Xenopus tropicalis: one gene and its partner. The protein of the gene in region 2 interacts with the protein of the main gene of each other region in a pairwise test. Links are inferred from orthologs where the notes say so. Each region holds a gene or a part of one and is shown on either strand. Other genes may lie near its edges.

Region 1 (4,220 bases), on a different chromosome or scaffold from region 2:
AATCCCAGAAGAATGAATGAGATTGTTGTTTAAGCTCTGGGTTTTCCAATGTTTAAACACAGTAGTGCAAGAATTTCAATTCCCAGAATATTGGATCGTAACTTTTATTGTGCTTAGATACACAATTCATATTGTTAGCCCTGCTGGTTATACACGTATGGAACATTTACATTAATTAAACCCAACAGGACTGTTTGCCTCCAGTAAGTATTAAATATATCTTAGCTAGGCTAATGTACAATGTTCTGTTTATTATTACAGAGAAAATGCCTTTTTAAGTCTATGGGAGATGGCCTTCCCGTTATTCTGAGCTTTCTTGAAAATGGGTTTCCAGATAATGGATCCTATACCTGTACTGCAGTGTGCTACTAATACAGGTAAGGGACTTGTTATCCAGAATGCAAGGTACCATTTTATTATTACAGTTATGGGACCTGTTATCCAGAATGCAAGGTATTGCTTTATAACAATTATGGGACCTGTTATCCAGAATTCTGGGTACTGGTGTTTTCCAAAAGAGAGGTATTTCCATAATTTGGATTTCCATACCTTAAGTCTACTAATAAATAATGTAAAAATTAAATAAACTCAATGGGATTGTTTTGTCCCCAGTAAGGATTAACTATGTATTTAGACAAAGTGCAATGTACTGTTTTATTATTTCAGAGAAAAGGGAATCATTTTGAAAAAATTAGAATTATTTGATTAAAATTGAGTCTATGAGAGATGGCCTTCCTGTATCCTTTCTGGATAATGGGATTCTGGATTACAGATCCCATACATGTACAGCGAAAATTAAAATAATTTTTTCAAAGTTTCAATTATTTAATTAAGGGTGATGGCTGTCCCGTAATTCGGAGCTTTCTGGATAACGTGTTTCTGGATAACAGATCCCCATACCTGTATTTTTCCTATTCCCTCTTTTTAAAGGCCATTTCAACATTAATATTATCTAAGGCTGTGACACTAAGGATTCAAGCATGTGATAGTTAGAAATGTATTTGTCATGCAATGTCAGTAGTGCAATAAAAACTGAAAGAAACCTATAGTTAAAGTGTTCAGTATTGGTGTTTGTTGGTACAAACCTGCAGGGAAACATGAGTTGAGTCAGAATAAGCATTGTTTGTTGCTATAGAATGCATAGAAACTACACAGTATGGCAAAGGCACTGAAAACCACCATGTTCCTGTACCTTGAGAGTACACACCATGCTTCCCTATATAAGTGTAAGGCACAGTATAGCAGTATGTAAGGGTTCTGTTGAACTATAGGATAGCACAGCACACATCCAGGCACTAGTAGAGTTCCTGTGCTACAGAAAGCCCAAGGGCCTATGTTGCTACGCACTTTAAGAAACAAACAGGGCAAGCAATGGCACTTTTACACTGAATCACAACTTTGCAGGCAGTTCCGCTTGTGTAATCATTGCTTAATGAGCTATATTTTCCCCCAGAAGCAGGTGATTCCCAGTGAAAAACAAAATGTAAATTAAAGGAACTCCTTAGGGAATATATTGTGTATTAATGTAATGCATCCAATGCCACAACTAAACGAGTCCTTCTCGTCATACAGCCTCAGTCCATTTGAGTTATATTTCATAAATTAAACAAAGAGGGACTTCAATCATTATTAAACGGATAGTTCACCTTTAAATTAACTTTTAGTATGTTGTTGAGAGTGATGTTCTGAGGCTGTGGTACATTTCAACATTGTATCAGCCAATCACAATTGGCAAATGTGCTAACTGGGGGGAGAGTGCTTGTTGCAACCTATGAACTCAATGTAAAGTGCTACTGCACACTTACAGAAAACAACACAACTTACCCTGACAAAACTGGCCAATTACACCAAACCACAAAAAACAACATATGCCGATGTTGTTTTATTATTATTATTATTATTATTATTATTACTGTTAGAGTAAACATCTGCAAAAATATATAAGGTTAAACTAGAGGGTTCATTTACTACAGTAGCCTTATGTGCTCAATGTGTAATCGGACGCAAATCACCATGTTTATACCCACAATGCTGTGTTTCCCAGCAGAATTGTAACTTCATGTGGCGGAAACAAGTTAAAAAGCATACACTAGTGGGCTCAGCAGTGCTGGTGTAAATGGTGTAAATTCTAATGCACCACCCAATAAAAATACCCAAGGAGATGGCAAAACAACAGCACAACAAGCTCACAAGCTCACACCATGTTTATGATGAAAAATAACATTCTATATTGCTGATTTGTTGATTTCCTTTTTTCTGTTCCATAAAATCAATAAAAATCTAAATGACAAAATTCTAATGCACATAATCCATAATACCATTAGTGTGTGATTGACTGTACAGAAGTCAGTTGTTACGTTGGCACAAACTGCTAAAGGAAGCCTGGCATTACAGAGTCCCCTTGTGCCATTCTGCCCTGTACTTTGAACAAGTGATGAGCGAAAATTTTAACCAGGTTTTGTTACGAAAGATCACCCGTAGACTGCAATGGCTGCAAAAAAAAGCTGTGCAGTACACTGTAGCTGCAAAAAAAAAAGCCCATTGACTTTGATGCATTACACAAATTTTTGTCATTTCTGACTACAGTTTGAACATGTACACACTTTATTGGAACAAGCTAAATGGACACTACACAAAAGTTGTAAGAAGCAGAAAAGAAAAGGGCTTATTTACATTTGGAACGTGGTTTCTAATTGTCATAAACTATTTTCCTTGTGCACAGAATACATAGATAACAACTATAGCAAAAAAACATACATATAGATATAAATGCAAGCACTCGTACCCTTCCTCTCTTTCTCTTTCTCATGATGGGGAAGATGAGGCTCCTCGGCTGCGAGTTTGCTGTTCATGCTGCAGTGAATATGTTTGCAGACTATGAGGTATGATGTGTTATTAATGCGGAACAGAAGGAGCAGGTAGAAAGGCAGTGGGATAACGAAGCCACAGATAATATGGATATGTTTGTTTCTGGATGAGAACAAGCCCTGAGTTTACTTAATGCTGTTGCCACCCATGGGAATAATGCTGATCTGCTGAATACTGACATGATTGTCTTAGAAGAGTTTATTCATTTATTTATTTTTGCAAGGTAATTGGAATAGACATCAGGAAATTTTAGTTAGGTCTTGCTTCTATAGCATAGGCAGAGTTGTGCTGGAGTTAAATGGACTACCTTTAGTTAATGATGACTAATATAGTGTTCAAATAAAGAGACTAACCTAAGGGTTCTTACAAGGGACTAATGCACTGATGCGCAGGTAAGTAAACTTACACAAGCAATATGGGTAGGGTTGCCACCTGGCTGGTATCTGACTTGCGTGGCCGGTAAATCACCCGGTAGGGCCAGCACTGGTATTTCAAATTTATTTACACTTGTATAATGCCCTATAAATTCCTCCCTTCGCTGACCCTCTCTGCTGCTAATCACCCTTTATAACCACAGGTCACCCCTCTGCCCCGCCTATTACCCCACCAATTTCTGGGCCCCATCCACTTTTCCCTCCACCCAGCCAGCCCATTTACCCACCACCCACCCCTTACATCATAGCCCTGCCCCAAAATGAAGTCACAACCCCACCCCCAACCCAAAGGCCAGATAGAAAAAGGTGCCAACCCTAAATATGGGGGTGTACTCATAGGGCGAAGATACATGGGGTGATCAGTTGCCACAACTAACACTAGTATACAAGTTGTCGCAACTAATCACCCCGTGTGTCTTCTCCCTACCTATTACGAATGTCAGCTATATATGTAAATAGATATATATGGGATCCTTATTTGATGGAGCAGGACGCAAAAATAGGTCTCCATGGTCCCGCTGGATAATGTGAAGTTTCTTCTCACAATAGAAAGTAGCAATTAAATGATATTGTTTGTAAGTTTGCAGTTGAAAAGCTGATTCTACTAATTATTTTGGGTTCCCTGCGATAAAAAGGCTGCCCTAAGGGCTACATGGATGTTCTGCCCTGTCACACTAAGCCCAAAGTCTTAGTGCTCTTTTGTAGGTCCTAGCTGGGGCTCACAGCAGTGTAACCTTTACTGTAAATAATGGCATGGTTGGCACAGTGTCAACATAAGACCTGCACCAGAGACAACAAATTGGTGCAAGCTGCATCTTTCTATCTGCCACAGGAATTCCGTTTGCCTGTGTGTCACCTCCATGCCGATACAAACCCTTCTTTTAACTTCCAGCCCTTCATATATCTCGCTACATCTGT
Region 2 (4,299 bases):
GATTGTCTGGGCTAATTATTCTTTAGCCATAGGTCTAAACCAGGGGTCCCCAACCTTTCTTACTCATGGGCCACAGTCAAATGTAAAAAGACTTAGAGCAACAGAAGCACCATAAAAGTTCATGGAGGAGCCAAATAAGGGCTGTGATTGGCTATTAGGCAGCCTCTATGCACCAGCTTACAGGGGCTTTATTTGGGAGTAAATCTTATTTTTATTCAACCAAAACTTGCCCCCAAGTCAGGAATTTAAATAACTCCCTGGTTTGGGGGCACTGAGAGCAACATCCAAGGGGTTGGGGAGAAACATGTTGCCCCTGAGCCACTGGTTGGGGATCACTGGTCTAAACGATCAAATAAAAACAGTGGGTATATCGGCTGTCGGATCAAGGAAACGCATCAACGAGCCAATGCTGTCCCAGATCTGATGGGAAAATAAAGCCTGCCCGATCTTGATCTAGTCCAGATATCGGTCAGGTAGGCCCATCGGTGATGCCCATAACTGGGCAGATAAGCTGCCAAATCAGTGTGAAGGACCCAAATCGGCAGCTGACAATTAAATGGATGGTCACAATTGTTCAGCTGGCCTTCAGTAAGCCTGTGTCTTTGTATCAGTTATGTACAGGATTTGCAACTGCATCAGTGGGGGTGGGGTAATTCTAAAGGGCCCCCAAGAGAACAAATGATGTGATCTTAAACCATAGAACAAAAAAATCCATAACCTGAGGACTCAATACAAAAATGAAAGGTACATCACATAATTGTACTATTTCTGAAATAATCAAGTTAATCTTTCTATTTCCTTTTTACATCTGACTTTATACATGCAGCTTTGTGTCCCCTCTGGAAAGGGCCCTACTGTCACCTGAATTCTGACTCCAGCTTGTGCATACAGATTGCTGAGATAGTTGCCCTTGCAGTCTTTGGTATGAGGGGTAAAAAAACATCCTTGACATGCCCTTTACCTGCAGATGCCATGATTTCCTTATCATAACCTGGTCTGTCAACAAAAAGCAGCCTAAGCCACTGCAGCATTCTGATTGGTTTGTCCTTACACTGGAATGTATTATATACAAAGCACATAGACAGCCAGTGCGCTACATATAGCCCTCACAATGACAAAAGCTGGTACAGGTATGGGACCTATTATCCAGAATGCTCGGGACCAAGGGTATTCTGGATAAGGGGTCTTTACGTAATTTGGATCTACATACCTTAAGTCTGATAAAAAAAAAAAAAACAATAAAACATTAATTAAACCCAATAGGATTATTCTGCCCGAATAAGGAGTAATTATATCTTAGTTGGGATCAAGTACAGGTACTGTTTTATTATTACAGAGAAAAGGGAATCATTTAACCATTAAATAAACCCAATAGGGCTGTTCTGCCCCTTATATCTTAGTTGGGATCAAGTAAAGGTACTGTTTTATTATTAGAGAGAAAAGGGAATCATTTAACCATTAAATAAACCCAATAGGGCTGTTCTGTCCCCAATTAGGGGTAATTATATCTTAGTTGGGATCAAGTACAGGTACTGTTTTATTATTACAGAGAAAAGGGAATCATTTAACCATGAAATAAACCCAATAGGGCTGTTCTGCCCCCAATAAGGGGTAATTATATCTTAGTTGGGATCAAGTACAGGTACTGTTTTATTATTACAGAGAAAAGGGAATCATTTAACCATTAAATAAACCCAATAGGGCTGTTCTGCCCCCAATAAGGGGTAATTATATCTTAGTTGGGATCAAGTACAGGTACTGTTTTATTATTACAGAGAAAAGGGAATCATTTAACCATTAAATAAACCCAATAGGACTGTTCTTCCCCCAATAAGGGGTAATTATATCTTAGTTGGGATAAAATACAAGGCACTGTTTTATTATTACAGAGAAAAGAAAAATGCATTTTAAGAATCTGAATTGTTTCATTAAAATGGAGTCTATGGGAGACAGGCATTCTGTAATTCGGAGATTTCTGAATAACAGATCCCATAGCTGTAATAGATGTAAATGATATACCAGCCTGGCCATCTCATCCCTTTATCTAGAGGAAACATATGAAGCAGTATGGCAGGAGCGTACTGACACTATTGGGGATGGGATAGGCTGGTTAGCTTTGGTTAGAGAGTGGCAGGATGATTAATTAAAGTACAAATGTGATTGGTTGGCATGGGTTACTGGGCAAGTACAAATGTTACTCTTCCCCTCCTGTATCGGTTATTGATTGCTTTATATGTTACTCTGTATGTCCAATGTATGAAACCCACTTATTGTACAGCGCTGCGGAATATGTTGGCGCTTTATAAATAAATGTTAATAATAATAATAATAAATGAGCCCATGTGGGATACCAGAGCTAAAGGCCATTGCTGGCTTCTGGATAATAAAGTAGGCATGACGTGACAGCTTTTCTCCCCAAGAGGTTCCTCAGCAGCCGCGGGTTTTACTACATGGACCAATAATACTGAAATCCTTTCTGTTACTGAACTATAACTCTCCAACAGCCGCAGGCATATAGGGGTCGCTGAGGGTTGTAGTTATACAGGAGCTGCATATTCCCCGTATGGATGCCCGTGTTCCAGGGATAGCACTTACCCACATCCTGATCAAAGGGATTAGAGCCGAAGAGCGGCATGCTGGGGCGATAGGAAGGCGAGAGGTCCGTGTACAGTGCTGGGGCCCCGCTGCTAGCCTGGCTCTTCCTACTCCGGCTTCCTCTCTCCCCAGTCACAACATCCAAGCACAGAGGCTTCCGGGTCTGCCCGCTCACCGCCTGACTCAAAAACAAGTGCCGCCGCGCTTGGGGAATTATTCTATATTCATACGCTGAACTCTTTTACAAAAGGAACCTTTACACGTCAGCATATAAAGGCTAAACATCTGTCTAGGTGCGAGTTCAGCGTTGCGTATTTTACAGGCAGCTGCATGGTTGCCTAAATCGTGGGTCCTTTGTAGTTTTTTAGGGTCCTCCGCGGAAGGAAGGGCAGGTAACGCCTGCGAATTGGCATAGTCATGTGACTAACGTCACCTGAAAGTCTGAGGAAAGGAATGTACCAACAGCAGTGATGTCATAGGGGATTGGGAAAGGCAGGGTCAGCTGATCAATGGAGGAACAACAGACAGATTATTAATATATAGATATATAGATATAATATATAGATATATATATATATAGATATATATATAGATATATATAGATATATAATATAGATATATAATATATATATATATATATATATATATATATTATATATCTATAGTAGGTATATAGGGCAGTCATTAGAGGGGTGCTGCATTGGGGTATTTAAGGCCAATCTATATTTCTGTTTGGTAAGGAATCACCAGCACCAGTGTTATAGGGTTGCCGCCTTTGAAATCTGTGATAGACAGACGAGAGGGCAGGGTGATATTAGGGGCAGAAATTTGAGGGTGGGGTCATGACATTTTTGGGGGAGGGGCCTGGACATTATTGCTGGTTATTGGCCGGATTATTGTTTGGGTTTCACAAGACTGTAACATTAACCGTTGTGACCCGAAAACGTACCTCCCAGTATTTTGAAAATGGAAAGAGGCACAAAATTAAATGCGGCATGGTGAATTGTTTTTGACCACGCCCATTTTTGCAACCACACCCCCTAAATACCGCTCCCATTTGACTAAATTGGCAGGTTTTATAAAGTTTGAAAACATTTCTGGGGGTTTGGGGTCTTGTTTTATGTGTTGTTACAGTTTTGTTAAAAAAAGGTGAAATTGCCCTTTAAGCTGCAAGTCTCAGTCCCCCCAAGAGACCTGTTTAGATTATTAGTTACAATTGTATCTCAGTGCAGGGGGGGCTTTTTACCTTTCTGGGCTCTCTGCCAAAAGCTACTTATTTAATTAAATGTGTGAAACAATGTTTCTAAGTGCAGGAGAAGCTTGTTAAGTTTTCTGGGCTCTGCCAAAAGCTACTTATTTAATTTAATGTGAGAAACAATGTATCTAAATGCAGCTGAAGCTTGTTAACTTTCTGGGCTCTCTGCCAAAAGCTACTTTTTAATTAAATTTGTATCTTTTTTAGCATTCAGTACAGGAGATCAAAGGGAAATGAGGGACTTTTTAGTAAGAATCCTGGACTGCGGGTTGAGCTGTCAGAAGAGGGACTGTTCCACAAAATCGGGACAGTTGGGAGGTATGTTCTAGGGTTGCCGCCTTTGAACTCTGTCATAGACAGACAAGAGGGCAGGGTGATGTTAGGGGCAGAGCTGTGAATTTGAGGGTGGGTGGGTACTCATTACATTTTTGGGGGCGTGTTTGTGTTTT

Evidence for each region. The genes of interacting proteins can lie anywhere in the genome.
Region 1: the proteins of stam2 (region 2) and plekhb2 interact in binary tests that used the Homo sapiens proteins (3 or more experiments, as listed by UniProt). The two-hybrid records come from large-scale screens. The link is inferred for Xenopus tropicalis from reciprocal best matches to the Homo sapiens genes STAM2 and PLEKHB2.

Annotation. Positions count from the first base shown.
Region 1 is NC_030681.2:126,782,276-126,786,495, forward strand, and holds the start of plekhb2 (pleckstrin homology domain-containing family B member 2), read right to left. Parts: upstream 2,912-4,220; 5' UTR 2,853-2,911; coding exon of another isoform or gene 2,786-2,852; intron 1-2,785. UniProt on the Homo sapiens protein: Involved in retrograde transport of recycling endosomes.
Region 2 is NC_030685.2:75,874,673-75,878,971, reverse strand, and holds the start of stam2 (signal transducing adapter molecule 2), read right to left. Parts: upstream 2,856-4,299; 5' UTR 2,636-2,855; coding exon 2,596-2,635; intron 1-2,595.